Caenorhabditis elegans: one gene and its partners. The protein of the gene in region 1 interacts with the protein of each later gene in a pairwise test. Each region holds a gene or a part of one and is shown on either strand. Other genes may lie near its edges.

The links.
Region 2: the proteins of pxf-1 (region 1) and F37C4.5 interact in a two-hybrid assay, tested with the Caenorhabditis elegans proteins (one large-scale study listed by BioGRID).
Region 3: the proteins of pxf-1 (region 1) and magu-2 interact in a two-hybrid assay, tested with the Caenorhabditis elegans proteins (one large-scale study listed by BioGRID).
Region 4: the proteins of pxf-1 (region 1) and F52C6.3 interact in a two-hybrid assay, tested with the Caenorhabditis elegans proteins (one large-scale study listed by BioGRID).

What each region holds. Positions count from the first base shown.
Region 1 is NC_003282.8:10,170,231-10,178,639, forward strand, and holds the start of pxf-1 (Rap guanine nucleotide exchange factor), read right to left. Parts: upstream 4,112-8,409; 5' UTR 4,101-4,111; coding exon 4,011-4,100; intron 3,931-4,010; coding exon 3,803-3,930; intron 3,115-3,802; coding exon 3,031-3,114; intron 1,515-3,030; coding exon 1,439-1,514; intron 618-1,438; coding exon 510-617; intron 79-509; coding exon 1-78. Other genes in the region: rack-1 (Small ribosomal subunit protein RACK1), read left to right, coding at 6,480-6,594, 6,643-6,826, 6,870-7,017, 7,070-7,600; mspn-1 (Mitochondrial sorting homolog), read left to right, coding at 7,740-7,874, 7,918-8,038, 8,084-8,258, 8,313-8,409. UniProt on the Caenorhabditis elegans protein: Acts as a guanine nucleotide exchange factor for small G protein GTPases like rap-1 and rap-2. Required in the hypodermis, especially in the seam cells, for proper formation of the cuticle.
Region 2 is NC_003282.8:3,868,958-3,876,775, reverse strand, and holds F37C4.5 (Protein F37C4.5), read left to right. Parts: upstream 1-2,969; 5' UTR 2,970-2,974; coding exon 2,975-3,124; intron 3,125-3,278; coding exon 3,279-4,604; intron 4,605-4,650; coding exon 4,651-4,845; 3' UTR 4,846-4,945; downstream 4,946-7,818. Other genes in the region: F37C4.6 (Pyridine nucleotide-disulfide oxidoreductase domain-containing protein 2), read left to right, coding at 1-193, 801-1,062, 1,106-1,288; F37C4.4 (Transmembrane protein 196), read right to left, coding at 5,050-5,160, 5,337-5,515, 5,863-6,134, 6,421-6,512, 7,154-7,225.
Region 3 is NC_003283.11:8,796,153-8,804,475, reverse strand, and holds the start of magu-2 (MAGUK p55 subfamily member 5), read left to right. Parts: upstream 1-3,447; 5' UTR 3,448-3,479; coding exon 3,480-3,654; intron 3,655-3,932; coding exon 3,933-4,042; intron 4,043-4,088; coding exon 4,089-4,173; intron 4,174-4,233; coding exon 4,234-4,321; intron 4,322-7,547; exon of another isoform or gene 7,548-7,846; intron 7,847-7,918; exon of another isoform or gene 7,919-8,108; intron 8,109-8,323.
Region 4 is NC_003280.10:1,921,864-1,928,426, forward strand, and holds F52C6.3 (Ubiquitin-like domain-containing protein), read left to right. Parts: upstream 1-2,895; 5' UTR 2,896-2,903; coding exon 2,904-3,015; intron 3,016-3,063; coding exon 3,064-3,390; intron 3,391-3,441; coding exon 3,442-3,596; 3' UTR 3,597-3,857; downstream 3,858-6,563. Other genes in the region: bath-2 (BTB domain-containing protein), read right to left, coding at 1-82, 146-293, 341-719, 769-881; F52C6.4 (Ubiquitin-like domain-containing protein), read left to right, coding at 1,284-1,395, 1,450-1,640; F52C6.2 (Ubiquitin-like domain-containing protein), read left to right, coding at 4,607-4,718, 4,771-5,073, 5,128-5,399.

The DNA of each region.
Region 1 (8,409 bases):
AGTTTGTGGAAGACGTAGAGGACGAGGTGGAACTGGAGGTGGCGGCATTGCAATTGAATCAACTGACATATTTGGTGCCTGAAATTGTGTATGAATTTTTGTGGTTTTTTTTTTCATTTATATTTGTTTGGGTCTCCGGAATACAAGACAGTGAGGGTGAAAAAGCTTAGAAAAAACACGGGATGAATCTCATTGCAACACATAAAAATCTAATTTCGCATTGCCGTGTTTGTTGATGGTGATTTCAAATAATCCCCATCAACAACACACCAGAGCAAAAAAAAAAGCAAACCAAAATTGAAAATAAGACCACGACATCACTGAAAACGAGTCAGAAATAGACAAAATGAGAAGAAATGAGCGAGAATCAGGAATTAGATAAAAAGAGAAAGAGAGGAACGAAAAACTAATGAAACATGGCTTCACGACACGCAATCGTAATGGGGAGGCACTTTCAGAAAGAAGGAATCTATAAATTTTATCATTTATCAATACCTTCAAAAACTTACCGATTTTCTAGGAGTTTTCTGATGAACTGGTTCTCCTGAATGATGAATTCCTCGAGGAGGTGTTCGTGGTGACATTCCATTCGATTGGGGTTCCGTTGGATAGTCAATCTGAAAAAAAAAACATTTTCTCAAAAACTTTATATAAAAATGCAATGTTTCATCTTGCCAAAATGTTGTCACACTTACTTATTCGGAACGAATTTAAGTGTGCCCAACAGATGTGAAAAGAGCGGAGAAGAGGAGATGAGGGTCAATCGAATTTGTTCCGAAGAGGGAGAAAGAGCGTGGCGCGCTCAACACGCATGGTGAGGATTCTTACGAAATCGAATAATCCCTTCAATGGGCTCTTTGAGGCACTTTTCAATAAATTTACAAGATGGATATATTATGATTAGTGGAGATAATCGGGCATGGGGAAACAATGTGTAGAGAAATCGCGGCCTCGAATAGAAAAAAAAAACTATTTTTGGAGCTCTAATGCTCTCTATTTCACTCCGTCTATATCTCAGAACAGATGTTCCTATTTACCAAGTACTACAACCAGATACACAATTTCTCACATAAAATAACTGAATGAGTTTATTATCGATACGTAAAGTTTTGCAATTGTTGCACCAAAAATGTGATACTCGGTCTCGACACGACAACTTTTTGTTAAATCAAAAGTGTGTCTGCGCCTTTAAGGATACAGTAATTTCAAACACGTTTCTGAGGAATTCTTATTTTTTAAGATAATTTTTTATTTAAAAGAATTAACATAAAACGCACAGATTTTAACAAATCGCGAGAAAAAGAAAGATGAAAAAACGTTGATAATTCCGAAACAACGAGAGTTTACAAAATTTCGGATGCATATTTTGCTAAAAAAGGTAAGGCGTAGTACTTAGCTTTTTCGACCATTTCTTTTGATGAAAAATTAAAAATCATACCACAATCATTTCAGATTCTTGTAACAGCAGACAATTATGAGTCCTTCGATGATTTTGTCCTGTTCGCTTGCCAAAGCTGCAAAAAAAGCACTTTTTAATTGAGAATCGTCGTAGAAAAATGCCCCTATTGTTTTTTTGTGTTGTTGTTTTTTTGGGTAACGGAAATGAGTAATTTGATATTATGTCCTGTACAAGAGAATGAGAAATCTCGGGTAAAAAAGTACGGGAATCCGAAAAAAAAGTCGCAGAACAAAAAAGACAGAAGAAAAAGGGTGTTGACCACATGGAATGGACATAACAGAAAAAGAAGAACTCCCGAGGGAAGACGAAATGAAGAGAACAAGAGGATTTCGAGTGCAAACAGTCTGTCTCCCCCCTTGTGCGCTTTTCTTTGCTCTTTTCTCAGTCGTTCATCATTTCTTTAAAATCTCACATGATGATTGATAGTTGTGTCAGCGAAATAAAGTTAAAGAAAAAGTTTTAACATTCTTTGAAAATCACATCATCATTTTGCTATAAAGACAAATTAAGCTAAATACCAAGAGAATATTACCCGATAAAGAAGCTGTTAGTGCAATAGTTTAACAAAAATGTACTAAACATTTAAAATTAGAACAAAAACAACTAGTATTCTAATTGCTACATAAAACATTATTGAATCCTGATTCAAAATGTTTCCTAACATTGTAAGGAATGGAAAGTTTGAAACAAAGTGAAGGAACATCACGGAAAGTGTGTCAATTATGAGAAAATATATGACTATCATTTATGATAATATCTCTTATCGACAGATCCTGAATGGGAAACAAGATGAGCGGATGAAATGGAAATTTTTGCTTAATTTCAATTTCAATAAGTGGGTTTCAATTATTTTTAAATTTTTTAAATGACCATAATTTTAATATATTTGATATTGTAATTATCTAGGAAGTATTGTCAAAATAATTACCCAATCAACTAATTATGCAAATTAAATCTGCAAAATCGTTAGGAATAATTTAAATTAAAATAAAATATGATTCGATTACAGAGAACATGAAATTATGTGTGTAGGTTTCGATGTTTCTACTATTTTCTGGACAACTAGGAACAAATTGAATAAAATGAAAGAATATTCGAAAAGAGTGAGCATCTAGAGAGCTCATTTCCCCCTAATAACCCACTTCCTATTTTTCTCAACATTTCATATAAAATGGGTTATTTCGAATGAATAGAAAATGAGCACGCAAAGAGGACACACCGGGTGTTCTCGTGTCTGAGCACATTTTTATTACCTAGTACGAAATTCTTTTTTTTGTGTGTATCTGCATCATTGTCATTATTTCAATCGTCTTGTCACGGAGAGAATGGGAAAAGGAAATTAGATGAGCATATAAGAAAACGAAGAATAGGGAATTGTACGGATTGGTGTCTACACTAATGATGACTCATTTTATCAATACTGCAAATTTTCATTTAAAAGTAGTGAAATTGATTCATTTCGTGCAAAATTAAATATGGAGATTATCAGTACTTTCCTTTACATTTTTTGAATTTATTTTTGATTATTTTTTTGGCGAAATTATTTCCCTTTATATTTAAAAATCACTCACCACCCGTAAGGCATGTAGATTTGATTTTCAATAAAAACTGATCCTGATAGTAGAATGTACCAGCTTCGTGCGACATCTCCATCCCTGAAATTTCAAATTCATTATTTTTTTATGGGAGTGGAGAAATATCAAATTTTCAGGCAATTTCTATTAGTTTTTCCAGAAAATGTTATTTTTTCAGATTTATAAGTAAAAATAAGAATTAACCGTACTGATTTTCAAATTAAACTTTTTTCGCTTTCAAAAATTATTAGTTTCCTCATTTTGATTACCCATCAACGAAACTTTTTAATTTTCGGAAAATCGAAAAATATTGTTCAAAAAATTAACAATATAAATTTTTAAAAAATATTAAAAGTTAAAAAAGACCAACATTTTAAGCTATTTTTTTAAAAACCTTTAAAATGTGTTTTAAATTCTATTAGTAGATTATTGAAAATTTCGTGAATTATCTAGAAAAAAAATATTTTAAGTCATTACAAACTGTATGAATCAAAAATGTTGTCGAATTAAAAATAATAAAAAATTCTGATTACATTTACGAAATATCAAATACAACGCTTTTTTTGTTTTGAAAATTTTGAAAAAAAAAATTTCATATGAATTTTAGTCTATGAGAAAGATAAGATGTTCTTCATATTTTAAAATTTTAAGTTTTTCAATGAAAAAAACATCTTTTTGAGGGGAATTGTATTTAATTTTTCCCTTTGATATTTATGTTTTCCGGGAACAGAGTCCGAATCAGTTTAAAATTTATTTTAGAAAAACTCACCGAAAAAGAATATATTGTGCTGGATGCCTTTCATATCGAGCAGTTTTACAGAGAGCTTTCAATGGACCTATAAACAAATTACTGAAGGTGTCGAGCTGCCGCAATTGCTCGTATACATTTCGAATATCCTGAAAAAATAATTAATTACATAATTTTAAAGTGGAATATTGATTTGTTTTGAAAACATTTTAATCCGAAAAAAACTTACATCTGGTGTCCTTAAATGCGGTGGTTTAATGAGGGATTCGTAAAAACGAGCATCATTGACTGGATCCTGTCGAGGTTTCCGAGGATCCATCTGATTCTCCTATAAATATAAAATATCTAGATTGTTAGTTTTTTCGAAGGAAAAATATAAAAAATAAAATTTCGGGAACCATAGTAAGGCAAAAAGTACAAAATGTAAATTTTTTCGTTGAACAGAAGCCATGTGGTCTTCCATTCAGATTAAGACGGCAAAGAGAGAGTAAGCGAAAGAGGACGAGCGTTCAGATAATCTCATAAATCAGCATGTAATGGGGTGAATGGGGCGGAGAAGGAGGAGCTCGGATGCTTCTTTTGTGTTTATTTATGTGAATAGAGAGGTAGAAGAATATGTATATATTCATCCCCAAGAGATGTTAGAGGATTTGCAGATTACTTTTAGATTATTAATGAAGATATGAGAATATAAGAGACGAAAAGTACATGAATACAACAATTTTTCTAAAAAATCACGAAGGCACTATCAACTAACTGATTACTCCTTACAATGATGATATTTAACAATTTTTGCAACAATCTAGAAGTACCGCATGACAATACCAATTGAAAATTGTTAATTGTTAAAATGGGAGTCACATATAAAAGAAAAACTAGGACATTTGTAGTGAAAATGTACAGCTAGAAGGCATAACTTCTGCCACTCCCGTTCTTAATCAAAAATTAGCCTCGATTAGTGTCTTTATGAAAGTTTCGATTGTTCTGATCATCTACAACTGAAAAAAGGGTCCCATCCAGTCAGTTACCACCAATTGAATTACAAAGTGATAATGATGTCGTCGTGTGCCGATAACAACGTCTAATCTCTATTACTATCAGAGGTTGATTATAAACAATCAGGGGCACTAGACACAGGAAAGAAAAGGATGCAAAAGTTGTGAAGAAGGGAATCAAAGTCTGAGGGGGGGGGGGGCGATTAAACGGGCGGATAGTGAATGCGGCGGCCGCACACACACATAGGGACGGGCATTTGGAGGAATGTGACTAGGAACAACACAGAGGCGAAGAGGACAAGAAATAAATCGGACAGTCTGTGTAGAGGCAAGAAATTGGAGGAGGAAAAGGCGAGGGACGGTGCGGAAAAGCACCGCCAAACCACTGCGAACCGATCAATAATACAACGGAAGGTGCTGCGAAGAAATAAGAGAGGAACGGAAAGTTGAGACGCAGGTTGATTGGGTTAAAGATTGCACTGATTGCAGAGAAGACAGAGAATCGAGTGAAGATTGGCTCAGGAAAGAGTTGATTGTTGACATTCCCATTGGAAAAAAACAGATATCGAAAAAATGTCTAGGAGCAAAAAAATATTTTTCATTATGGGAATTGTTGTGATGTTATTGCTATTGCAAGGTTCTGTTGTTGTATTGAAAGTCAGCTAAAAAATGGGGAATTATTGAAAATATATTGTATTCAAAAATTCTTCAAAATAAAAATGACTTTTTTGAATGAAAAAAAAACTTTAAAATAGTGATGTTGGCATATCAACGTAAAATTTAAGATGAGAAGGTATTAAACATTATAAGGAAACAACTCGAAGATTTTCAAGCACATACCAAAGTTTTCACGGACAATTGGCCAATTTCTACAAGAAGTCAACATTTTTGTCGCTTCGTCAATTTGAAACCCATAAAAGCATGACTAAGCTGACAGGAATTCCACGAAAAAGCAATAGATATGCGCAAAGAACTAGTCTCGTCAGATTTTTCTGGCAATATCTCATGCAGTAATCTTAATATGTCTTGCACACATGCAACCCCGGATGCTGAAATGTTAAACTTTAAAATTCGAGCTCGACACGATGAATTTGAATGGATGGAGAATAATTAGAACTAAACCCACATTACATTGATTTTAATGTAAAAACTAAAGTATTTTTGCTTTTAAATGAGAAAATAATAATTTTTCGAAGAAATCAAACCAGTTTTCAGAAATATTAATTTTAAGGCTCAAATAAATGGCTCGCTAAACTCGAAAACAACTGTCACAATAAAAGCTAAACATAAATAATTGAATAAATAAATAAGTAAATTTAAAAAAGTGTCAAAAACTGCTTCATAGATGCAAATTTACAAGAAAAAGTTAATTTGTTCCGTAAATTCGTTAGTTGGCAAAGTGCCAGGTTAAAGGCGCATAGACTTTCGCTGTGGGGTCTCGCAGCGACTCACCCCTTCTCCTCTGCTGCTGGCTGGCTAGTTTGACGCGAATTTTTAGGACGATTTTTCCTTTTTTCTGTATTTTTCTGTTAAAGCAATGATTTTTTCAACATTTTCAACATTTAATAATTAAAGTGGCTATGTTTTTAACATAATTCGAACAAAATTATGGTTTTCGTTCGCTCTATTCTCCAAAATTTTCATTTTTTTATATGGAACATTTTTATTTTTAGCAGATCGAACGGGGTTACACAGATAGCAAAATGGTCCAAGAGCAAATGAAGCTTACCGGAACCCTCGAGGGTCACACCGGATGGGTTACCCAAATCGCCACCTACACCCGCAACGACAAGACCACTGTCCTGTCATCTTCCCGCGGTAAGTCAATTAATATAACGTTTTCAAATTTATACTCACATTTTTCAGACAAGACTATCCTTGTTTGGGATGTCGACAGCGTTGCTCCAGTCGATGAGGGACCAATCGGTCGCCCAGTTCGTTCGCTCACTGGACATAACCACTTCGTCTCTGACGTTGTCATCTCCTCCGACGGACAATTCGCTCTTTCTGGATCCTGGGACAAGACCCTCCGCCTCTGGGACCTCAACCAGTAAGTAATTCAATAAAAAAACATTGTGCAAACAATTTTATAGGGGAGTGAGCACCCGTCAATTCATCTCCCACACCAAGGATGTTCTCTCTGTTGCCTTCTCTGCTGACAACAGACAAATCGTCTCTGGATCCCGCGACAAGTCCATCAAGCTGTGGAACACTCTTGCCCAGTGCAAGTACACCATCACTGTACGTTTTTTCAAATTCTTTTATAGGAAGATTTATCGAAACTATTGTTTAGGATGATTGCCACACCGATTGGGTTTCCACCGTTCGTTTCTCTCCATCGAACCGCGATCCAGTGATCGTCTCCGCAGGATGGGACAAGGTTGTCAAGGTCTGGAACCTCGGAAACTGCCGTCTGAAGACCAACCACATCGGTCACACCGGATACGTCAACACCGTTACCGTCTCTCCAGATGGTTCCCTCTGTGCTTCCGGAGGCAAAGACGGACAAGCTATGCTTTGGGACCTCAACGAGGGCAAGCACTTGTACACCCTTCCAGGAAACGACGTCATCAACGCCATGTCCTTCTCTCCAAACAGATACTGGCTCTGCGCCGCTGTCGGATCTTCCATCAAGATCTGGGATCTCGAGGACAAGAAGGAGATCGAGGAGCTCAAGCCAGAAATCGCCAGCTCTGGAAGCTCAAGAGGATCCAGCCCACAGTGTATCTCTTTGGCCTGGTCTCAAGACGGACAAACCCTCTTCGCCGGATACACCGATAACATCATCCGAGTGTACCAGGTGTCGATCCGTGCTTCCAACTAATTTGTTACCTGTTAATTCAAAACCCTTCAATAAAATTGTTGATATAATTTTGTATTCAACCATGTCAGATAAATTATTCGCGTTAATCAAGAATATCTAGCAGATGATAAAACAGCAAGGTATACTTGTTATGTTAGAGATGACGGATCGTAATGAGTTGATCGGTGTTGCAATTCGAGTAGTGGCGGCGGCTGCAGTTTCATTTCTATCAGTGCGCTATCTAGTCAAGTACTTGGATCCAAATTATAGTGTGAATGAAGAAAGCAAAAAGAAGGTTTGTAGATTTACAACACTAATTTTGTTTTTTTAATATACAGGTGGCACAGCTGTTTCATGAACTTGGTATCGATCGTCAAATAGAACTCTCAGAGCACGAAATTAGAATCGCCACGCAGTTTGTTGGCGGAGAAGACGTTGGAGCAGATTGGGATGAGATCGGTAGAACAGAAAATTGTTTCGCAAAAAAAAAGAAAAATTTTACAGGTGGCTGCGAAGAACTTGTTGCTGAACTAAAGGATCGCATTATTTTACCCTTGAGATTCGCATCGCAAAGTGGAAGTCATTTATTGTCTCCTCCACGTGGAATTCTTCTTTATGGACCACCCGGATGTGGAAAAACTCTTTTAGCGAAAGCAGTTGCAAGGGCAGCTGGATGCCGGTTAGTTATTCATAAATGCAGAATTGACCTGTTTTAAATATTGCTACCTTTCAGATTTATCAATCTTCAAGTGTCAAACCTAACTGATAAATGGTACGGAGAGTCTCAAAAACTTGCGGCCGCTGTTTTCTCTGTTGCTCAAAAGTTTCAA
Region 2 (7,818 bases), 6.3 Mb from region 1:
ATCAAATCGACTACACATCGCCGGTGACAAAAATCAATGTAGCTGTGAAGGAGCTTCCGAACTTCTTGGCCAAACCGAATCAAGGATCAGAGCCAATGCCACATCATCAGACGACGATTCATATGAACTGTGAGAATATGCAAGTGGTGCATGACGCGGTGATGGATTATAAGAACGGGAGATATAGTAGAAGGTTAGTTGGTTCAGAGGGGTTTTCATCGGTGGGCGGCAATTTGAAAATTGTTAAACCTATAATTTGTCTTGTATCTTTGTGGGTACGGTAGGTTGCGGTCCAAACTGCCGAATATTCTGAAGAATTTTCTGTAGATCAAACCGTAATAGGACATCCTAACACTACGTATAGGATTCGACTAGTCGCGGCCGTTTTCAGTGTCATAACATTTTCCCCCGTTTTCTTGAGCTAAAGTAAAAGTTTTGACAGGGAATTTGTAAAATTTAAACATTTTATTAACAATCCGAATGAAGACGTGGTGTCAGCATGTCCCATTACGGTTTGACCTACAAAAAATGCGGAAACTTTTCCCCAAAAAATGTGACGTCAGCACGTTTTTAAGCATGCGAAACAGTTGAGAAGACTGCATCTAAATTTGCGTACATCTACGTAGATCAAACCAACATGGCGCACTCTGACACTTCGTGAATAGACACAGTTCCTTTTCTGATCAAATAAATATTTTAAATTCGATGAATGATTCAGGATTTCTGACAATTTGTAAAACCCCTTTTAGAATTCATGATACCATCATTCTCGCCATAAACTTCAATTCAAAAGTTTGCAGACCAGTCATCGAGATGACAATTCCCTCTTCAGTCGACCGAACCATTGTGGATAGTGCTGATGGTCACGTCGTCCTCCTCTTTACCCAGTACACTCCCTTCTCACCGAAAGACGGTGAATGGACGGAAGAAAAGAAGACAGAATACGCGAAACACGTCTTCTCGGAGATAGACGCTTATGCACCGAACTTTTCATCAAGTGTCATAGGCTATGACATCTTGACCCCACCCGATATTCAGAACACTTTTGGGATTACTGGAGGGGTAGGTCCCATTTTTAAGGCTCAATTTTCAAAATTTGCTTCAGAACATCTTCCACGGATCTATGAGCCTTGACCAGCTGTACGTGTCCCGCCCGATCAGCAAATGGAGCAACTACTCAACGCCCATCGAGTCCCTCTACCTCTGCGGAAGTGGTGCTCACCCGGGAGGTGGTGTGACTGGAGCCCCCGGTCGGTTGAGCGCACTTCATGCCCTCAAACATTTCTAACGTTCTAAGTCTCTTCTCGCGGTTTTTTATTGTTTTGTTTGTCTTGCGCCAGTGACTCATAAAAACATTTCCAACACCATGATGTATTGCAAAATGTGTGTTTCGAAACTGCTGAGGAGACGACGAGGAAGTGATCTTTTGATTCACGATTTAGTTGCGGTGACCTTTGATTTTTGAGTGATTTGGTGGAATTAGAAATGTTAAGCGGGAAATCTTCAGAAAATTATAGAAATTTTCAAAAATGTTCGTAAAAGTTTGGGAAATAATTTCAGATTTTTAAAAAGAATTTACGTATGTATTTTTCTTTGGATTTTAAAATTAATTCTTCAAAAAATAGTTGAAATTTCTATTTAAAAAAAAAAAGAAAAACTATATCCAATTTATGTTCATACCTGAAAAAAAGCAAACATTTGTAATTTGGTATATTGAAAACTGTCAAGCTTTTCTATTTTTCAGGTTAAAAATCAATTTTCCACAGATTTGTCTTGAAATTTTCAAAAAAAAAGCTGTGGTTCTGTAGTTTGTGAAATTCGTATTTTTATTGAGTAGTCTAGTGTGATTTGTGCTCCCAGTTTTACAGCTCCTTCCGCAGGATCTTTTTTCGCCAACACAGCAAGTACGAAAACTCATCGCCACTTGGTCAAAGGTTGAACTCGTCTCAGTTTCGAAAAAAAAACCGAGAGAAACTCATCGGAACACAACAGAATGCCGCCCATCGCTTGATTTTGACCTTTTTCTTGTGTTGTCTGCTGCCTCTTGTGAAGAGATAGAGAGACAGCGAAAGAAATGCCAAAAACTCGTATAAAAGAGCGGCCAAAACGCCACAATTTGTTAGTTGTTGAGAGGAGTGTTTCCCTCAAATCTCTATGGAGATTTTTTTTTCGGGTTTCCCATGGTTTTCTGATCGTTTGAGCTTTGCTTTCCGCTTTTTCTCTTACATTTTTACTTTTTTAAGGCTTTTTCAAAACTAGAAAACTTCTCGAAATAACATACGAAAAATAAGATTGCGAAATACGTGAAATATCGTATTTTACTCAAAAAAAATTATTGGGAATTCGATTTTTTTTTTCATTTTATTTCAAATACATTTTCTGCCAAAATCGCAGTTTCCTATATTTTTGGTGAGTTCCGGGGAAAAATAGCTTCAAAGCTTTATTTCCATTTATAAATAGCTCTAGTTTGCAAATTTTTTGTCTAAAACGAGCGAAAGTAATGACATTTTTCAATTTTTTTTTTTCGAAAAAGTTCGGATATTATTGCGAAACTTGAAATTTCGGGAATTTTATCATGAAACAATTTTTTAAATTTGTAATTTGTAGTATTTCACAGTATTCTAGCAACATTTAAAAAATGTGCGAAATTTGAAAATTACGTGATTTTTTTTGTTGGAAAATATCAATTTCTGTATTTTCTAATTAGATTTTTCAGTGTTTTGCAAGATGAAATTTTAATTCAAAAAATCGTAGTTAATTTTGAACATTTTTGATCTACGTAAAAATGAACACTTTCAATTTCTGTTTGTTTCTTTTTTGTGTTGGGAGAAATTCGGAAGTTGCTTGTGTTTTTTTTTTGTTGAAAAAAAAATAGAAAATAGTCAGTTTTGTAGAATTTTATTTGTTAAACTCTCGTCTTAGCCTCACTTTTTCAAATTTTCCCTTGAAATTTACCTCAAAATTTCCAGAAAAAATGGCTCACATCGTGCAAACTCACAAGCTCACCCTCCATGACGTCGCCATCGACCAGGCTCTCGTCTACAGCTCCGACTCGAACTGCGCTGAGCTCAAGAGAACTTTCCAGGTCGAGTTGGCTCATGGCTACAATGAGGTTAAAGTTCAGGTGAGTGAAGGGCTATAAAATACGAGAAAAAATAATTTTTTTTTGCATTTTTTACTGCTAAGCAAACAAAACCATCGAAATTTCCAATATTTACCTTACCTGTCAAAGTTAAAGTCATAAAAACACTCACACAATGTGATAAAAAAATTTTCAGAACCTCCCATTCGACCTCGTCCAGGACTCGATCCGTGTTTCCGGAGCCGGCGAAGCTGTGATCCACGACGTCTCCGTCAAGAACCAGGAGGGTGCCGAGTTTGTGATCCCGGAGCGGGTTCTCGCAATTAAGGCGATCTTCGAGGAAAAGGAACGCGCCAAGGACAAGGTTGCCGATAGCCGAGTTGCCGTACAGAAGCGCATCGAGGGACTTGACAATCTGATCACCGAAGTCGCCAAGCACGGAAAGGACGGCGCCTTCCATTTTGACGGGCGCACAATTGAAAGTCTCAACGCCCTCCACGGATTCCATCAAGACACAACAGTGGATCTTCGCGCTCAGATCCGAACCCTGGATCAAGACCTGCGAAAGGCCGAGGAAGAGTACGCCCGTGCTAGCCAAGACTACGACAATACCGGATACAGATGGAGAAACTCTGCTCAGTATGCCAGTATTATTGTTGAGTCAGAAGCCGGTGGTGCTGCACAGCTCACCATCACCTACCAAGTGAACAACGTCTCCTGGACCCCGTTCTACGACATCCGCGTCACTGCTGGTGTTGAAGCTGAGATGCACGTCACCTACTTCGGAAAGGTCCGTCAGTACAGTGGAGAAGACTGGAAGACAGTGCCATTGGTGTTGTCAACCGCAAGACCCGCTCACGGAGTTAAGCAACTTCCGAAGCTCGGAGCCCTCGAGGCATCGATTGTTGTGCCCGAACCAGAATGTAACAGAGGTGGAAGAGGAGGTTATGGAGGTGGTTACGCTCAGGATTCAGTGGTGATGGCCTGCGCGGCTCCGATGATGGAAATGGGTAGAAGTAGAAAATCCATGAAAATGTCCTATGCGGCTGTGAAGTCCAGCAACATTGCCTCCGAGTTCAGCATTGGCCGCCCCGCCACCATCGACGATCGCACCGACGAGTACAAGGTGAACATCGGACAATTCACACTCGACACCAAGCTCTCCAACGTTACCGTCCCATCCCGTAACGCCACCGCGTTCCTCGTCGCCAACTCGGTCAACACCTCCGACTACCCACTCGTCGCCGGTCAGGCATCGATCTTCCTCGACGGAGCATTCGTCAACAAGACCGAGTTCGAAGATGCGGTCGTATCGCAAAAGTTTGAGGTGTCGTTGGGCGTCGACCCGAACATCCGCATCGAGTACAAGCCTGTCAGAAACTACCAGGAACAGAGCGGAACCGTCGAGAAGATCAACTCTCAGGTCACCGAGAAGACCACTGCCGTCACTAATCTTCGCCCCAACTCGGTGCTTCTCACCATTCGCGAGCAGTTGCCAAGATCCACAGATTCTAGAATTAAGGTAAAGATTGAATACATAAAAAGCCCCTAAATTTCCCATTTTTCAGGTCCACCTCAACACCCCAGAAGCCGTGGAAGTCGACGAGGCAAGCGTCGAGCCAACCGTCGGAGCCGCCATCACTCCGGAGAAGATTCTCGACTACACCGTCCAACTTGCGCCAGGACAGTCCAGCACTTTCGTCGTCAAGTACACTACCGAGCACCCACAGGCTGAGCAAATTCGCTATGAGGAGAAGTTCTGAAGTGCTTATGCGATGATTTTTCCGCTTTAACTTGATCTGTATAATTTATAAATAATTCCTTTAATGTCGCCAAATATGTAAAATAAATGTGTAATTTCAGAATTTATTGATTTCTTTGAGACACACAGAATGGATTGAAATGATGGAATTGACCCGTTTTGAGCAACAAATGGAATTGGAATTTAGAAAAAAGAACAAAAAAAATCACACGATATGATAACCCTTATCTTCTGGATTGCTGGTTGGAGGTCTTGCATCTTTTTTGTCACAGCTCTTTGCTCGGCTCAATCGACGGCGCAGAGATCTAGCGCGTTTCTGCAAAGGGTTTATGGAAATTTCTGGAACAAGGTTCGATGCACCATGTGATTTAAGAGCTTTTTTGCATTTGTCAAAAAGTTTTCAATTGGCGAAATAATTAAAACACGTTTTCTTAACTTTGCAATATGTAAATTGGTAATAATTTTAAAAGTAAACGAGGTTTGTCAACTCACTGCAATTTTCTGCACTGGCTGATAGCCGGTGGTGTTGGAGTTCCAATAATGACAAATCATGACAGCGGTCAAGATGAAGCACACTCCAAGAGCAACTGATGCCAAAAGCATGAAACCGGATAACCCGTTGCCGATTGCCGTGCGGACTTTCATTTTTGAGTAGTGGTCGAGCCAGATGCCTGAGAAAAAAATTAATTGAAATCCCATACCTCGGTTAATTTTAAAGGAACAGTGTATAAAGTTAGCTAATAATTTTTATAAAACCAAAGATGAAGTTTTCGTTGCACCATGTTTGCCTGATTTTGAGAGTTGATATCTCAGTTCTTTTTGGTTTTATCCAAAAGTTATTGACAAACAACTTGTTGTATCAGTTTCTATGTTCAACAATGCACCATGAAGAAAAATGACATTGTTTTAGTTTTACTCAACTTTAATGGATATCAAAAAAGTATAACTTTGTTGAAAAATTTCTGAACAACTTTCAATCTGATCGAGATATAAGCCATTCGGCAAAAAACTCTCTTACCTGTAGTAATCACAGCTAGCAGACTTCCGACAGCCGACATGATACAAAAAACGAGCCACAAGATTAGCATGGTCCTCCACCGATATCTATGCACAGCGCCCAATCCCATGGCTCCGGTGAGCAAGCTGACAATTGCTGATACCGTATTCATATGGCACGTGGATTGGTATTCGGCTTCTGTCGGGTAGCCGGGGCATGTGGTGCCATGAGCCAAAAAGATGAGCGAGATGAGGATCTCCGCGCGGCACAGGTGCACCATTATTTGGGCGTATCTAAAAAAAAGAACTTTAGGCATGGTGCATCGGCATAAAATCGGTTTTAAAAAATTTCGCGAGCCCACACCTTCATTTTGAAGCTATCAACTAATTTTCTACTGTAAAAGAAGAAACATATAATAAACTATGTTTTTCATTTGACATTATTTGATTGAAAACATGGTGCATCGACAAAAAATCCTTTTAAAAAGTTGTGACCTATTTAAGATGAGTCCTAAGTTTTCTACCCAGCAACCGACATTTCGTGGGTACCCGTAGAATGTCGTCTGCTACATTAACCTACTCGGTATGCTGAAATCCTGCCTTCTGCATTACTGTATAAGCCTTATAACGCCGTCGTTCGTTTGATGAGAACTCCTCTTCTTCTTCAGAAGTCTGCAAATATTTATTTTAAATTAAAAATACATATTTTATAGGTTCGAAGCTACAGTTTCAAACGCAAAATTGCGACAAAAAAGAGACAAGTATTCGGATATACTGCCTCGGGGAGGCAGGTAGGAGAATCCCATGTGACTACTCCAATGTGGCCTTGTTTTGTGATTGGAATCGATAGATTACATGTATGGAACAGTTTCCGGGAGAAAGTATAACTTTTGCTATTAGGATTTCACTGTTCTCACTATTAGTTGAACGTATTTGCAACATTAAACCTGATCCTATCACTAGCGCGCGTTTGCAACACCAAAATTGAAGTTATAATTGGAGCATGTTTGCAATTGAGTCTTTAAAAAGTTTGTCAATATTAGAGCGCGTTTGATGTTTTAACAAGAGTTATCATTAGAGCGCATTTTAAATTAAAATTGAAAATTTGTCAACATTGTGTCAATGCATCTTGACCACAAAAAAAATTTATTACAAGAAAGTTATCATTAGAGCGCGTTCGCATATTATACAAAATTTGATCAAAATGACCATTATTGCTATTAGGCCGCTTTTGCACAAGTATCGCTAGGGTGCATTGACAACAGAGTATTACAAATTATAAATAGAGCGGATTTGCAACCCAAAATACTTACCACCGGTCCTGGCATCAATCTGGCCGTCGGCTCCTCGAAATTTGGTCGTAATAGTCCCATGCTTAGATTTTTCTGCAATTTATGAGATTAGTTTCTGAAGGAAAACTACATTTTCGGTTTGAAAAACCACAAATCACATAACTTGGAATACGAAAATATTGTTATTTACCGAGAAAACCCTGACACTCACAATTCGATCAAACTCGTGAAAGTACAACAAATTATCGGAATATTCGACGTTTTGCATGATTATCGATTTTTTGGTAACAAAGGAAAGAATTTAGGGGAGAGGAATGACAAGTGGTAAGAAATAGAAAACAAGTGTGGGCAAAGGACACGGGATCTTAGATTTCTGGAGTATTTAGGGGTATTGTAAACATTTAGGTAAGATTGGGATCTAGATTTTTGGTTGGTAGACTTTTGAATGAATTCAAAAATAGTAATTTTCATAAAAACACAGTAATCACATTGAAATTAGCAGGTTGATTTTTTTTTCGAATTCAAAATTCAAACTTTGGAAAATTAATAATTAACACAATTTTTTTCTAAATTGTAATATTTGGAAAATTATTTAAAAATTGGCATTTTGCTAAATCTACTAACCAGTTTAAAAAAAATTACGTTTTTATCGTTTTTATCACAAATTGAGAAAATATTTGTACTTT
Region 3 (8,323 bases), on another chromosome or scaffold:
CTTTTCTGTTCCTTTTACGGCAAGCATCCACTGGAACAGTGAAAAGCGAAAATAGAACAATAGAGAGTAGAAGAAGATTGAATTGGAACCGCATATTGAATACAAATGGAGGTGTATCTGTGTTTTATGTGGGCGGAAATGTGGAAAAAACTAAAAAAAAACTTATGATTATAATTGAATTACGGTTCGAGAAGCAATACTGTTATGGGAACGGAAATCGAATTGAGGCAAATCGTTGCAAAGTGTATAGTTTTCCATTTGTTTCAAAGTTGTGTCATGTGATTACGGTAAAAATAATTTATGGAACCTAAGAATTTGAAAACAGAATCTACTGGAATTATTTTATTGTTGGAGGTTTACCCGAAGAGATTCTCCACAAATTTTGCTCTTTAACACAAATTGTTTTAAAAGTTGACTCTTTTTCAATTTTTCAAATCATGTAAAAACGTTTGAGGAAAAAACAAACCAATTGATCCTTTTTTGCTTCTATTCACAAACATTCAAAAGTCGTCTTTATTTTGTTTGTTATTGCGTGCCATTTCTCCACCAAATGTCCGTTTTTCTTTGCAAACGCCGTTCCAACAACTCTTTTCCAAATCCGTCAACTTTATAACCAGCTGGCAACTCTTTGAGCACTATTTTCCTTTTTTTTTGAATGAAAGTGTGAGTACGCACACGGGGCCTCTCATCAGCTGCTTTTCGTTTTCTAAAACCACTCGTTTGGGACTTCTAGGAACCCCTTCAATTCCCTTCTTTTTGGTTCTTTTCTCCAAATTTCTTCGCTCATTTTTGAAAGTGTTTGGAATCAGAAAAATAGAAGTGTGGAGATCTCTAAAGCCATACTTCTAAAAACCAAAAAGCCGGAAATTGGAAACGTTTCTCACGGCGACGTTGATGAACGAGTGAAGAAAAGTGAGAAAGGGAGATGGTTGGTTCCACAGAAAAGGAGATCATATCTATCTAGATTTGTTCTCGAATGCCAGTTAAACACGCTTTGACGGCGGAGGAAAGTTATTTGAAGGTCTCGTTGACTTTACTTTTCTTAATTTAATCTAATCTATGCAATTTCTCTAGGATAACTGCCAAAAATAATTTTCATGTGAATATTTCATTTATGTAAAAACACTTTTGTTTGAGTTTGACTTTCTTATTGCTATTTTGACTTCCTGTAAAACTTGCTGAATATAAAATTGCAGCAGGTTGACTATAAATTTTGATACTGTAAAAAAGTTTTCTTCCATTGACTCATATACATTCTATGAACGTTATTATTTTCAAACATAAAATCCTTACAATCTCAAAGTATTTTCCACACAAAATTTTAAACCAAAAGTATTTCAAGAGAAATACAAGAAATTCGGTAAGTTTTTAAAAGTGTCGCTAGTTCTCTAGAGATTGAACAAAATGCGTACGGTTCAAAATTTTTTCAAAATTGATTAAGCGAATTAGTTTTCCTATTTAGTTTAAATGGTTATATTTTGAAATTTTAATATGTTTTAGAATTTCAAAAAACTGTTTGCATAATTTCCGCATAAAATCATAGTTTCTCGACAAACGTTTTGTGAAGATTATCAACGATGGACGTTTATGTTTTTCACAATATCTTCTCACAACTTATTCTCAAAATCCATATTTGTTTTTTGCATTCTATACAAAATAAAATATGCCCATCAAACTCGAAACTAGCCTAAAAATGACTGAGATCCGAGAGGCGGGTGAAAAAAGTTTTTTTTTTTTAAGTTACGAACTTTAACCATAATAGTAGTGTTATTTGTCTTGGTTTTTTTTCAAAGCTACGAGAGTCACAATAGAAGATCGGCGTAATTTGTCTCAGAGAAAATTACAAGACGACATGTTGAAGATAGATGAGCTGATCAATGAAATCAGCACTAATCAGCTGGCTATTCTCTATCTTATAGCTTGTTCTTTCTATGCGGCCTGCGTCTCTTCAAATCCCTGCGGGTCGAATGTCACAATTCACCATCTCCTTTTCTCTTTCTTGCTCCATGTGCTTCTTTCTGTCCCCAGACTGGACCTTCTTGTGCTCTCCCACCCACACCGCCATCTTCCTTTCTCTCTTTGCCCCATCCTCGACTATCTGTATCTTCTTCGTTCTCACTTTTTATACTCGAGACTCTGTGGAAAAAGACACAGAAGACACACCAATGGCGTCAAAAATCTTTTTTTTTAGTTTCCCTCTGCCGGACACGATGCACATAGTTTCGGTGCGATTCTCTCAAGAGGATCCCCCATAATTATTTGTCACTCTAAATCTCAAGCTCTCTCATCCAGTTTTCATTCCCAATCTATCCATCTCCCTGTCACACTGAACTAGTGGAATGAATGTCAATATCATCAATCTGGACCACTGTTTTCATCTGTCTCGTTCAATTTTTTATCCCCGGGAAAAGCTATTATTTAGTGCTTCATTCCGTGTGTCTTGAGCTCATGGATACTTTGAAGACCTCATCTTTTTTGATTGAACAAACGTGACAAGACAATTTTATGAATTCTTAGAGAGTGTGTGTAATTTTAATTGCTTGCAGCATGCTTGACAGCTGCACTTACTGTTTTCCTTGAAATACGCAAACTTTCACTGATATGCCTAATTTTAGAAGTGTATTTTTGAAATTCAAAGGAAAAACTTAAAATTTACTTTCAAAATCTTTAAAGTAGCTGTTTTTATCAATCTAGAAAATGTCACTACAGATAAAAATATTGTATTGATATGTGGAGTCTTTTAATTGTGCTTTTCGTGAGTCAATAATTAAGATTGCATTTTTAATTTGGCAACAATTTAGAAATTTGTTATCTGGCAAATATGTTCTATGATACCGTAACTTTCTCAGATAACTTTAAGATTATTTTTTTGTCCATAACCTCTGTTCTCAACTTTAAGACATACAGTACCCCTTATACACAGCTCCCTTTTTTTGTTATTTTGAATTTTCTCTTCAACTATTCCCATTTTTGTCGGTCTTTTTCCAATTTACCCCAAAAAGTCCATCTCATCAAAAGCGCTTCAAGTCTTTTAGTTCTTATCCCCCATTCCTCTTTAAGCTCTTGAAACACAAAAAACAATTGCAGAAGAAAAGAAAAAAAGCAATTAACTAAGAAAGTGCACTCATCACAACTCTTCTTCTCGGTTCTTTTTCTGTCTCAATTATTCACGCAACAACGCTTACATGAAGTAGCAGTTTTTCGAGTGATTCTGACATTTCTATTCATTTGTTTCAAGTTTATGATTATTTTTAGATCCAAGTTTTGAGCAGATCCCGGAATCCTAGCATTCATCATTCAAAATGAAAACCACGAGATTTCAAAACAACTTTTTTCATTTCACCTACTCATAAATTCCATTCCGATTCAGTTATTGCTTTATTTTCAGAAATTTGGATTCTCATTTTCTTATTTTCGCTTTCGTTGGAAATAATATTCCCAAAAAATTTTCAGCCTTCATCTAGTGGCTCGAGTATCAAATGTCCAAGTCGGTGTCGATACCACAGGCACTGTCCGACTTGAAAAGGACATCCTTGAGACGGTTGAGCAGTGCACGTGGTGTTGGAAATAAGAAGACCGTTGTGAGCACTTCGACGCCGTTGAGTGGTTTTGTAATTTTGGTTGAACGAGAAGAGAAGGTTGTTCGGCTGTACGGTAAGTAAAAGATAATTTTATTTGACTAATTTATAAAAACATTTTGAAGTATTTTTATTGAAATAATTTGCAATTTTGATGAATTTTTACTGAAATTTTGTCAACGAACATTTGTACTAATGCGATTCTCCAAATCGTTGATGGCATCGGCAAAGTGGGCGTTTTTTTAACCTATATCGCAATTTTTTTCGCTTTTTTCAAGGTGTCTGGAAATCAGATATAAAGTGCTTTACAAATTTTATGCAGACTTCTGAAAAAATAATCGATTTCCATTACAGGAACTGCTGCGGAAAGAGCAGGATTGAGCATTGGAGATGAAATCGTTGGGGTAAATGACATGAAAATAGAAGGAAAAAGTTATGAGGAAGTCACAACTTATATTCAAGAAGTTTGATAAAATTTATGATACTTTCTTGCAAAATTTCAAATTTCAGTGTATTCGTCGAAAAATCATTCAGCTGAAAGTTAGACGTCGTGCATTAGAAATTCCAGCAGAAAATGAAGCTTCTGTTTTTAACTGTGAGTAAAAAAAAGTTTATACTTTTTCCTTTTTAATACTTAGTTTTTGTTTAATTTCAGGCACAAATTCGAATCGTATGATAACGGATGCATATCTAGTTTCCGTGGATAAGGATCATATCAAGGAAGTTACTAAACGGCTGAAAAAGTGAGTAATCTTTTTTTGAGAGAGATTTTCTTCTCTGCGATACTATCTGTGAGAAGCGGAACGTGTAAAGAACGGAAAGAAGAGTTCTTAAGTGCTCTCTATTTATGGTATATGCATAAACAGTGAATATATGACAAATAGTGCAAATACCACTAAGATTTGGTTTTTGGCAAATCAATGTTCTTGAAAAGTTCTCATATTTATTTCATTTCACTTAAAAAATTCATCTCTCTTCATTTTCTTTAAAATCTTTGTTGTTCACTCGTCGACCTGCTTTCTAGAAATTAATTAATGGCCTCGAAACTTTCTGACGGGCAGGGAAACACAAAAACACTGAGATTATGAATGTGAGCTAATTTGGAATTCTCGTTCGTCCAGTCTTCACAACTATATAGGTCACATTCTAGTATTTCACACAGTTAGTCGGCACGTCTAGTATGTCACAAACCAATAATCTGTCAAGGTGAAGACAAAAAATGGAGAAAAAAAAAGAGAAAAAACGGAGAGTTCCGTCGTCAAATATATCAATAAATCTAGTGATTAATCAGTCAACCTGGCGATTCTTTTTTATGTCTCCCTGATATTCTATTTCACAGTCAGTGGCATTTTCAAGTAATAGAACCTCCCATTGCGCTTATCACACTCATTCTCTCTTTCTCATTCCTTTTTTCTTATTCTTTCATCAACTTTTTAAATGTTTCTGTCTCATTACACTATTTATCAAAAAACTATCATCACTCAAATTCTGTGTTCTCTTCGTTTCGAAGGTTGTCTGACTTGTGATAATTGCAGGTTGTTAGGGTTTCAGAACGTTACAGTTCTTTATTACAATTTACTACGCTTTTGAGATTTTTTGTATGTTCACAGTTAGCTAAACTCTTGCCTAGCTTTGGAATAACATGTTACTTTCAATTTATTGATTCTTGTATGTTTTGAAAAGCAATGACTTTTAGCACCCTTTTAGCACGACTGAAACTATCAGAAAAAGATTTTATACAGCTGCAGCTAAAATTTCAACACACTTTTTCAAAGGAAATGTTCTGCAAAACTTTAATTCAATCGTCAAAAATTGAATAAGGAGCAACGACTGCCGTTCTCTCAAATTACAAAGAGTCACAGAATTTTATTTTCGGGGGAATACCTTTCCAAAAATGGGTGAAAGGTCATAACGAATACATCAAACTCCAACACATTAGACACACATTGTTATTTATTGACATAAACCATTTATTGCTTTCCATTCGTCTCCTCACTTTTCCTTGTCGACAATTGTCAATTGCACCGTTCTTTCCAAACCCAAAAATTTAACAAATAATTATTGAATCCGTTTACACTTTCTTTTTTTCCATTCAACCCTAACCGTTCCTCTTTTTGTCATCATTGTGCAAATTTCATGCATCATAAATTTTTGAGGACGGTACGGTTTTTGTGTAGTTGTGGATCGGTTAACTGTTTGGTGATGGACACAGTTATCGCGACTTTAACAAAATTTTGCTTTTATATTTGTTATCAAGTGGCAAATTATTTTAAGTTATCATTATCAGTGGAGCAGAAGATATTTTATTACTTTTCTAATGTTTCGAAAATTTCAAGGAGTATAGGAATAATTTGCAATTTTTGGAAATATATTGGGTTCGAATTCTAGAAATTAGTCTGTATAATTTAAATATTGTTGATTCAAAAATTATTTTTTCAGCTACTATATGTAATATTCATTTTTAGAACCTTTCATTTTCTTAGTGTTTTGCTACTTTCCCGATATGTCTCATCATTGCTTAAAAATATTTATACATCATAGCCACCACCTTCTAAATCGTGGTTTTCATAAATATGTATTTGTATACATCTTTTCCCCAATAGGAAGGGATGCGCAAACGGGACCTCAAATGTAAAGCTGGTGATGAGCAAACATAAAAGTAGAAGAAGCGCGCACGAAAGATGATGAAGATGCAATACGGACTGTGTGTGAACAACTACAATACCGTCTATTGTTTCGACCCTCACTCACTCTCACCTTCCTCTTTTCCCTCAACCTGCACCACTTTGTATACAATTGTCATGAAGAGAGTCAGGCTGAATGGGGAATTATTCTAGGACTAGATTTGGTTGATGTTGGGTGACCAGCATGGTTTTCCACATTTTCATCTTCATAATGATTTTTGGAAGAGAAAATCAAAACCAACATTATGATCGAATGTTCTTCAAATTGTTTTGGTAACACCTCTTACCACACTTCGTAATAATAATAAGTACGTGTCAAGTTGTTTAGTCACAAAACCGAGTATGTCAATTTTTCAATCCAAACTGCAAACATTCAGTTTTGATTTTTTACAAAGTCTGGGTTCTCCTCAAATTTTACTTTTAAACTTTTTGATTTTCAAAAAATTGAAACTCAACTACATTTTTTTTTTTCTTATTAGACCACTCTTTTGAAAATGAATTGAGCCTCTAATTAGATTCACTCCATAAGTGGAATGCATTCAATAAATATAACTTGGGATTTAACAATTTATATTTCGTTTGGTTTAAAATACGTCAGCTCTTGTTGGAAAAATGAGACTTTACTTTTTTGTATTTTATTCCAATAAACATGTTAGTGAGAAGCACTCCGATACAAAAACTAATTTATTGATCTCTTTTGAAATCTGAGAACATTCGAACTTTAGCGAACGGGAAAAATGGTGTGGAGCAAATATTTAGGTTTTGGATTTTTTGTTGTTTTTTAGATGTCAGATTATATAATAGCTTTTGGTATCTTTTACATATATTTGCAACTTGCTGTTCAATTTAAAAACAGATCGTTGGGACATTATATTTAAATATACACCCGTACTAATATCAAACTATAGATTTTTTAGACTGAAGTTTGAGAAAATATCTAACGTATTCTTAATTAGAACCTATGTAGTCATATATCCTCTGTCATACCTCATTAATAATCCGCATCCTTTACCTCACCTATCCACAGAGTATATAACCTTGTCTAATTAGACTCCCCAATCCCCTTTTCCCGCTCTTTGCCTGCCATATCGTGAAACGCCCTGATTGTCAGGATAATTGGCATACATATATGCACGGGCACTCTTTTTCTCTACCTCCTCTTCACCTTTATTGACAATACAATGTGCAAAAAGGTCACAATACCGAGGTATAATACTCTCTTTTTGACAGTCGATGTATTTATTTCATTTTCACATTTTCACCAAAAATATTGAAAATAACCAGTTGGATAGAAAAGAGATACATACAAAATAGAGAAAATACACACATAATCCCATCTCTTTTCATTTTCCCTTATTCTTTCGTTTTTTACTTCCGTTGGTGGGTTTCGTGGTGGTGGGTGCGTTTTTTTTTCCGTGCCTTTCCACCCATCGTTCCATCCCATCATTCCACCGACCCATCATTCCGACACGAACACATCATCATTCATTGTTATTGTCATCCTTTTCATATATACCTGGACCTATTCCCCCATCAAATATAGATCAAATCCATCATCTCTGCCCGACAAAGCTTGTACCAAAAAAGGAGAAAAAGCAGGTGTCGTCAATAGGCTTCACGCTTCCGGACCGGCAGGTGTTCGGGTTTGAGACTGAACAACTGAAGAAACAACGTTCACATTAGCCCCCGACCCAAACCGATTGAGATGCTTATCGGTCAAAACTAGCCGAGTGTGGGTGAGAGAGAGAAGGTTTAACGGTGGTCTCCTTTGATTTCCCGACAACTAAACTCCCAATGATGATGATGAGAGAACGGTCTTTTTGATGGTTTTATGAAACCTCATAAAATTCATATCATTCTGGGAAAAGGTCAGTTCACTAAAAGTGGGAGCATAGGTGAAAGTTTCGTATTAGAAAAATTTTATAAAAAGTTACCTGCATATTCTTTTTGGCGCTCAAAATTTGCAGCTAGAAATTAACTATGCCCTGGTGTCGATTTTTCAATAACCGAATGCCTTTTTCAATAACAGTCCTAGAAATACTTCACTTTATTTGAATTATT
Region 4 (6,563 bases), on another chromosome or scaffold:
ACAAGAAATTCCTCACATCTTTTAATCGGAAACGGCATATCGTACAAGTGAGCCAAGTGCAGAATTCCGTCCACTGTTTCCTCTGAAATTTTTAAAATTCTAATTTTTGCGGATTTATTTTATAAAAATATTTCGAATTTCTCACCATCAATAGCATATTCTCCATACCGAACTTCCATGAGATTCTGAAAATCGGTGGAATTGATGTCCTGGAGTTTGACTTCTGATTTGTCAGCTTCTGCAAAATTTCCGAGCAGCAGAGTCTCGAAATATGTAGAGTGGGAAGCCAGGAACTGAAAAAAAAATCAATAATTGATTGATAAAAAAATTGAGAACATACTTTTCGGAGAACGAAGAACTTTTTATCTCCAACTGCCAAAATCACATCTGAAAATTCTTCATTCGATCTCTCGAAGCTTTTGAGCTTTTTCTTCGGAATTCCAGACATATTCTTGATTTTAACAGCAACTTCAATGATGATGACGTCATCGATTAGATAATCCTTCAGCAATGAGTCCCACTCGAAAACATCGCAAAATCCAAGTGCATCATATGAATTCCAAATGTCACTTCCGGTTTTTGTCACAGATTTTCCCGAAGAATTAGAGAGTTTCAAGGTAAATTCAGAGTCGATTTTCCAGGGAGCTTGCTCATTTTTTGGGTGCAGATACCGGAGAAATACAGCCACGTCTTCTTTTTGGTGAATGAGAACTATTCGCCTGCAATATTAAACGTAAGAGTGAAATTACAATTCATTTTCTAGCTTGCCATTGAACATTGAAATGTTCTTCTTCAGGACCATAAAAAGTATTTCCATCTTCCAGCTTCGACACATCTTTGAAAACATGGGAGAGCTCAAATTCTCTTTTGACAGCGACCATTTCCCAATGTGCCGCTGAAAATAATTATTTTTGAATTTTCTGCAAAAAATACGATGAACTACGTTTAAATGCGAAGAAAAAACAACAACAAAACCCCAAAAAACTAATTGCGCGTCAATTAATGTGCATTGTGTGCAATGTGAACTTTTTCGCTTACCGTAGTTTGGAAATTTTTGTTCTTCGATTTATTGATTTTTTCGAAACTCTTGCCCATATTTACTTGTTTTTTCTCATTTTTTATCGAAATTTAAATGAAACAAATTAGTTTAAGTGCTATATTTTTTTTATTCAACAGAATAAGTTCAAAACTTCCCGAAGATCAAATTTCTGTGGATTGTTACTCTTTTTTCACTGTTTTTTGTTGCAATACTCTCAATAAATTCAACTTTTCCAGCTAAAACCATGCTGCTCTCCGTCAAAACGTCGACTGGAAAAACCATCACAGTGGAGGCGCCGAAAAATGTGAAAACTGAAGTTCGCGACAAACAGGGAGTCGTTTTCACAGTCTCTTACGGTATTTATCGATTTTTTTTTTGGTTTTTATTTCAATATATGTTTATTTTTTCAGGAGAAGTAACCGGAGATCCAATCACTGTTGAAGCATCGGACGCCATCAAGGATCTTAATTTCAAGGTTGCCGAGGCTCAGCGAAAACCGCATCGTGAAGGAATGCGAATTTACGTTAAAACTTGTGAAAAAACGATCACTCTTGACACTGCTGCCTCCGATACCATTGCAAGTGTTAAGGCTAAAATCTAGGAAAAACGAGGTTTTCCATCAAATCTGCAGAAACTATATTTGGGTTAGTACTTTGAAACTGATAGCTTGTCTAATTTCTTTAGTTTTTACAGAACCTTCCAACATTGTTTTGTGCAAGGATCAACGTACTATTTCTGACTACAACATCAAAAACGGCAGTACTCTCCGTTTGGAAGTTCCTGTAAAAGAAAAACTGACGGTTTCTGTGAAAACCTTATTCGGAAAGACGATTCCTATTTCAATCAAGAATACGGATACTGTTGAGACATTGAAGTTCAAGGTTCAGAATAAACACGGTGTTCCACCAGATCAGCAGCGTCTCATTTTCGGTCGGGCACAGCTCGAGAATGACCGTGCTCTGTTCGCCTATAACATTCGTGATGAGGATATTATCCATTTAGTCTCCAGACATCGGTTGTGAAGTTCTCAATTTGATTGCTCTTAATCTGTTGTTTTGTTACTTTTTTGTTTTTTATTGTTGATAAATGTTGAAGGTTTTTTTTTTAATTTTTAAATTAAAAACACTGTCTCAAAATATTACAGGTACCATATTTATGATATATGAGGGTTTTTTTCCAGTAAATTCTTCTGTGTTCTGAATTTCCGACTTAAACATTTTATTTCGATGGTTCAGAAAATTGGTTTTTCAGGTTTTTGGATACTTCAGGCTGATATTTTGAAATACTCGAATTTAATTCAATTTAGCATTATTCAACCCGCTAGAATTTCTGTTGGCACATGTTTCTTCAATTAGAATTTCTATTATTTAAAAAACCACAAAGAATTTAATAAAAAATCAGCGAAACTACGGTAGACGAGGAAGTAGGCAGTTGCACACGATACACATTAAATAATTGACTTTTCCGTTTTTCTTGATTCAGTACTCGAAATGTTTTCATCGAAAACTTAGAAAAAAGTTTTTTAATATAAATGAAATTTCAATAAAATTTGCGCGTCAATTAAAGTGTTCTTTGTGCATTGTGAACTTTTTTTGCTTACCGTAGTTTTGCAATATTTGTTTTTCGATTTATTGACTTTTTCAACGCAATTCTTCTTTATAGCTTGCTTTTTGCCCGTAATTCATCAAAATCTTGATAATAATATTTATTAATTCATTCTATTCATATTTTTAAGAAAAATCATTTCGAAATTATCCAAAAACCAGATTTCTCCCTTGTTTGCTTCTTTTTTCACCGTTGTCCTCGTTTTTCTGTTGCAAAACTCTCAATAATATTTAATTTATAAATTTTTCCAGCTAAAATCATGCTGCTCTCCATCAAAACGTCGACTGGAAAAAACATCACAGTGGAAGCGCCGAAAAGTGTGAAAACTGAAGTTCGCGACAAACAGGGAGTCGTTTTCACTGTCTCTTACGGTATTTATTGTTTTTTTCTGGGTTTTGCATTAAAAAAATCATTTTCAGACAAAGGTACCGGAAATCAAATCATTGAAATGGAGGACACTGTCCAAGATGTCAAAATTCAAGAGGCTCAGCAAGCACCGCTTCGTGAATCAGAAGAAGTGACCGAAGATCCCATCAGTGTCGAATCATCGGAGGTCATCGGAAATCTGAATGTCAAGGTTGCCGAGACTCAGCAAGAACTGCATCATGAAGGAATCCGAATTTACGTTGAGAACGCTGGAAGAACATGCACACTTGACACTTCCGCCTCCGATACCATGGCAAGTGTCAAGGCTAAAATTTGGGAAAAACTAAGAATCCTCCCAAATACGCAAAAACTATTATTGGGTTTGTACTTTAAATATTGAAAGATATGTCTAATTTCTTTAATTTTTACAGAAAACTGGGACCTAGATTTGTTTAGCGATCATAGCACTCTTTTTGACAACAGTTTCGAAAACGGCAGTACTCTTCGTTTGGAAGTTTCTATAGAAAAAGAAATTGACGTTTTTGTGAAAACCTATACCGGAAAGACAATCACCATTTCAATCTAGAATACGGATACTGTTGAGACCTTGAAGCTCAAGATTCAGGATAAGGAAGGTATTCCACCAGATCAACAGCGTCTTATTTATCAAGGATCGCAGCTCGAGGATGACCGTACTTTGATTGCCTATAACATCTATAATGAGGCTACTCTCCGTTTAATTCTCAGACTTCGTGGATGAAGTTCTCAATTTGAATATTGTTAATTTGTTACTTGTTATTTTGTTACTGTTCTGTTTATTTTTGTTGATGAATGTTGAAAAAGTTTAGATTTTTTTGAAATTAAAAATATGGTTTTTAAACAGCCGGTATATTTCTTTGTGTTCTGAATTTCCAACGTAAAGAATCTTTTTCAGTGATTCAGAAAGTGTGCTTTTCAGGTTTTTCGTTAATTTCTGTATTTCTCTATCATAGAATACATTTCAACTCACAAGAATTTTCGTTAAAAACCACAAAAAAATTAATAAAAAATCGGCAAAACTATGGTAGACGAGAAAGTACGCTGTTGCGCACAATGCATGTTAATTGACGCGCAAACAGTTTTTTGTAATATTTTTTTCCTGTTTTGCTTGATTCAGTACTTGAAATGTTTCTTTTCAAATATTATAATAGTTTTTTTTAAAATTTTCTGCAAAAAATGCTGAAATTCTAATAAAACCAAAAAAAAACTCAAAAAACGGCATGCGCGTCAATTCATGCGCATTGTGTTCATTGTGAACTTTTACGCTTACCGTAGTTTGTCGAGATTTGTTTTTCGATTTATTGATTTTTTCGAAACTCTTGCCCATATTAACTTGCTCTTTCTCGCTATTTATCGAAATTTGAATGAAAAAAATTAATTTAGGTGCATTATCATTTTTTATTTAACAAAATAAGTTCAACAACTACTGAAAATCCAATTTCTGTCGATTGTTATTCTTTTTTCACTATTTTTGTCAAATTAAAAAGTTCTTTCTGCGTCTTTTTTGTTTAAATGCTCTCAATTAGGTTTAATCTATCAACTTTTTCAGATAAAATCATGCTGCTCTCCATCAAAACGTCGACTGGAAAGACCATCACAGTGGAAGCGCCGAAAAGTGTGAAAACTGAAGTTCGCTACAAACAGGGAGTCGTTTTTGCAGTCTCTTACGGTATTTATCGTTTTTTTTTCCTGGTTTTTGCATTAAAAATAATAATTTTCAGACAAAGATGCCGGAAATCAAATCATTGAAATGGAGGACACTGTCCAAGATGTCAAAATTCAAGAGGCTCAGCAAGCACCGCTTCGTGAATCAGAAGAAGTGACCGGAGATCCCATCAAAGTCGAAGCATCGGACACCAACAGAAATGAAGAAAACCCCGATTTGGCTGGGCCACCCGCGGAGCCAGTTATTCGTGGCACTGCCGCCTCCGGTAGAATTGTAAATGTTAGGCTTGCGGGAAAAAGAATCGTCCAACCGAATAGGCGTTTCACATCATATTTGCCTTCGTCCGCCGTGAGACGTGGTTGGTTTTACAATTGATTATTTGTCTAATTTACCCATAATATTTTTTTTTCAGTAGCATCGCCCTATCAGATTCGGCGGGTTTCAGTCGATGGAAATTTCAACGTTTTTGTGAAAAACTCAACCGGAGGAAAGACTACCGCTGTTTCAATCAAGAATACGGATACAATTGGTACCTTGAAGCTCAAGGTTCAGGAGAAGGAAGGCATTCCACCAAATCAGCAGCGTCTTCTCTTCAAGGGATCGGAGCTTATGGATTATCGTACTGTGGCGCATTGTGGACTTCGTCAAGGCACAAGTCTCGATCTTGTTAGACTTGATGCATGAAATTTTTCGATCGATACTCTTTAATTTTTTAAACTGTATTTGTTTTATTCCTGTTTTGTTTCTTTAATGAACGCTTAATAATTTTTTTAGACGTAAAAATCTATTTTCAGTGATTCAGGCAGATGGGTTTTTAGGTTTTTCTCTAGAATATTCTTTTATTCGCAAGGATTTACTCGAAACTGCTCCAATAAATAAGTTTTTCCAGAAAATCCACTAAAAATTTAGCTTCTTCAGTTCCAAGCGATATCTGAGTGATCCACTGCGAATTTTGTACAGATTTTTGTCGAAATTAGAAAGAAATTTATTAAATTGAGTTTTCCATGCTTTTTTTCCAAGAAAATCGAGTTTTTGCAGCGAATTTTCATTAAAATTTCGATAAAATCAATTAAAAATCGTGCAAACTACGGTAGGCGATGAAGTACGCAATGCACAGAATGCATAAGACCTGCCGCGCAAACAGTTTTTCGAAACTTTTAGTCGAAATTTTAAATGATTTTATTATATTTTGCTTGATTTTCCAACAAAGTTTCGCATTTTTCTTGAATTCTTCACTTTTTAATCGTTCCAAGGCCTCACAAGCTCAATTAAATCCAAAATTTCAGCGAAACTCTCGAAAATGGTCGTTGCAAACAGGAAATTCCAGTTTTCGCCCACTTTCACGAATGTATCGAAGCTAGAAAACGGCGAAAATCTATACAGTCCCGACGATACACATTTCAACATCCCATGGTATTCTTTTTTCCATTGTTTTTGCAAATATAAATTGAATTATATAATTTTAGGTGTGTATCATTATCTCACAAAGGCGACAATTTGGCTGTATATCTTTATTGCTCAAAATCGAGAAAAACTGATGTGATGTGGACCATTGAGACTAAATTCAACTTTTCAATCAGGGCTTCGAGTGGGAAAAGTACAACGAAACGTACCTATAATCAATTTAAAAATACCGAAGACTGGGGATTTGGGCATAATCCATTGATCAGTTGGGATGAAATGATGAAGGATTTTCTAATTAATGATAGTATTACTAAATATTGAAGTTTCTGTCAAGATCACAGATATAACTGGATTCTCGAAAAATGTGCTCCAAAGATTCGATCAGTCTGCTGAAGAATTTTCCGATGTGATTATTATAGTGGAAGGGCAGAAGTTCTATGTTTT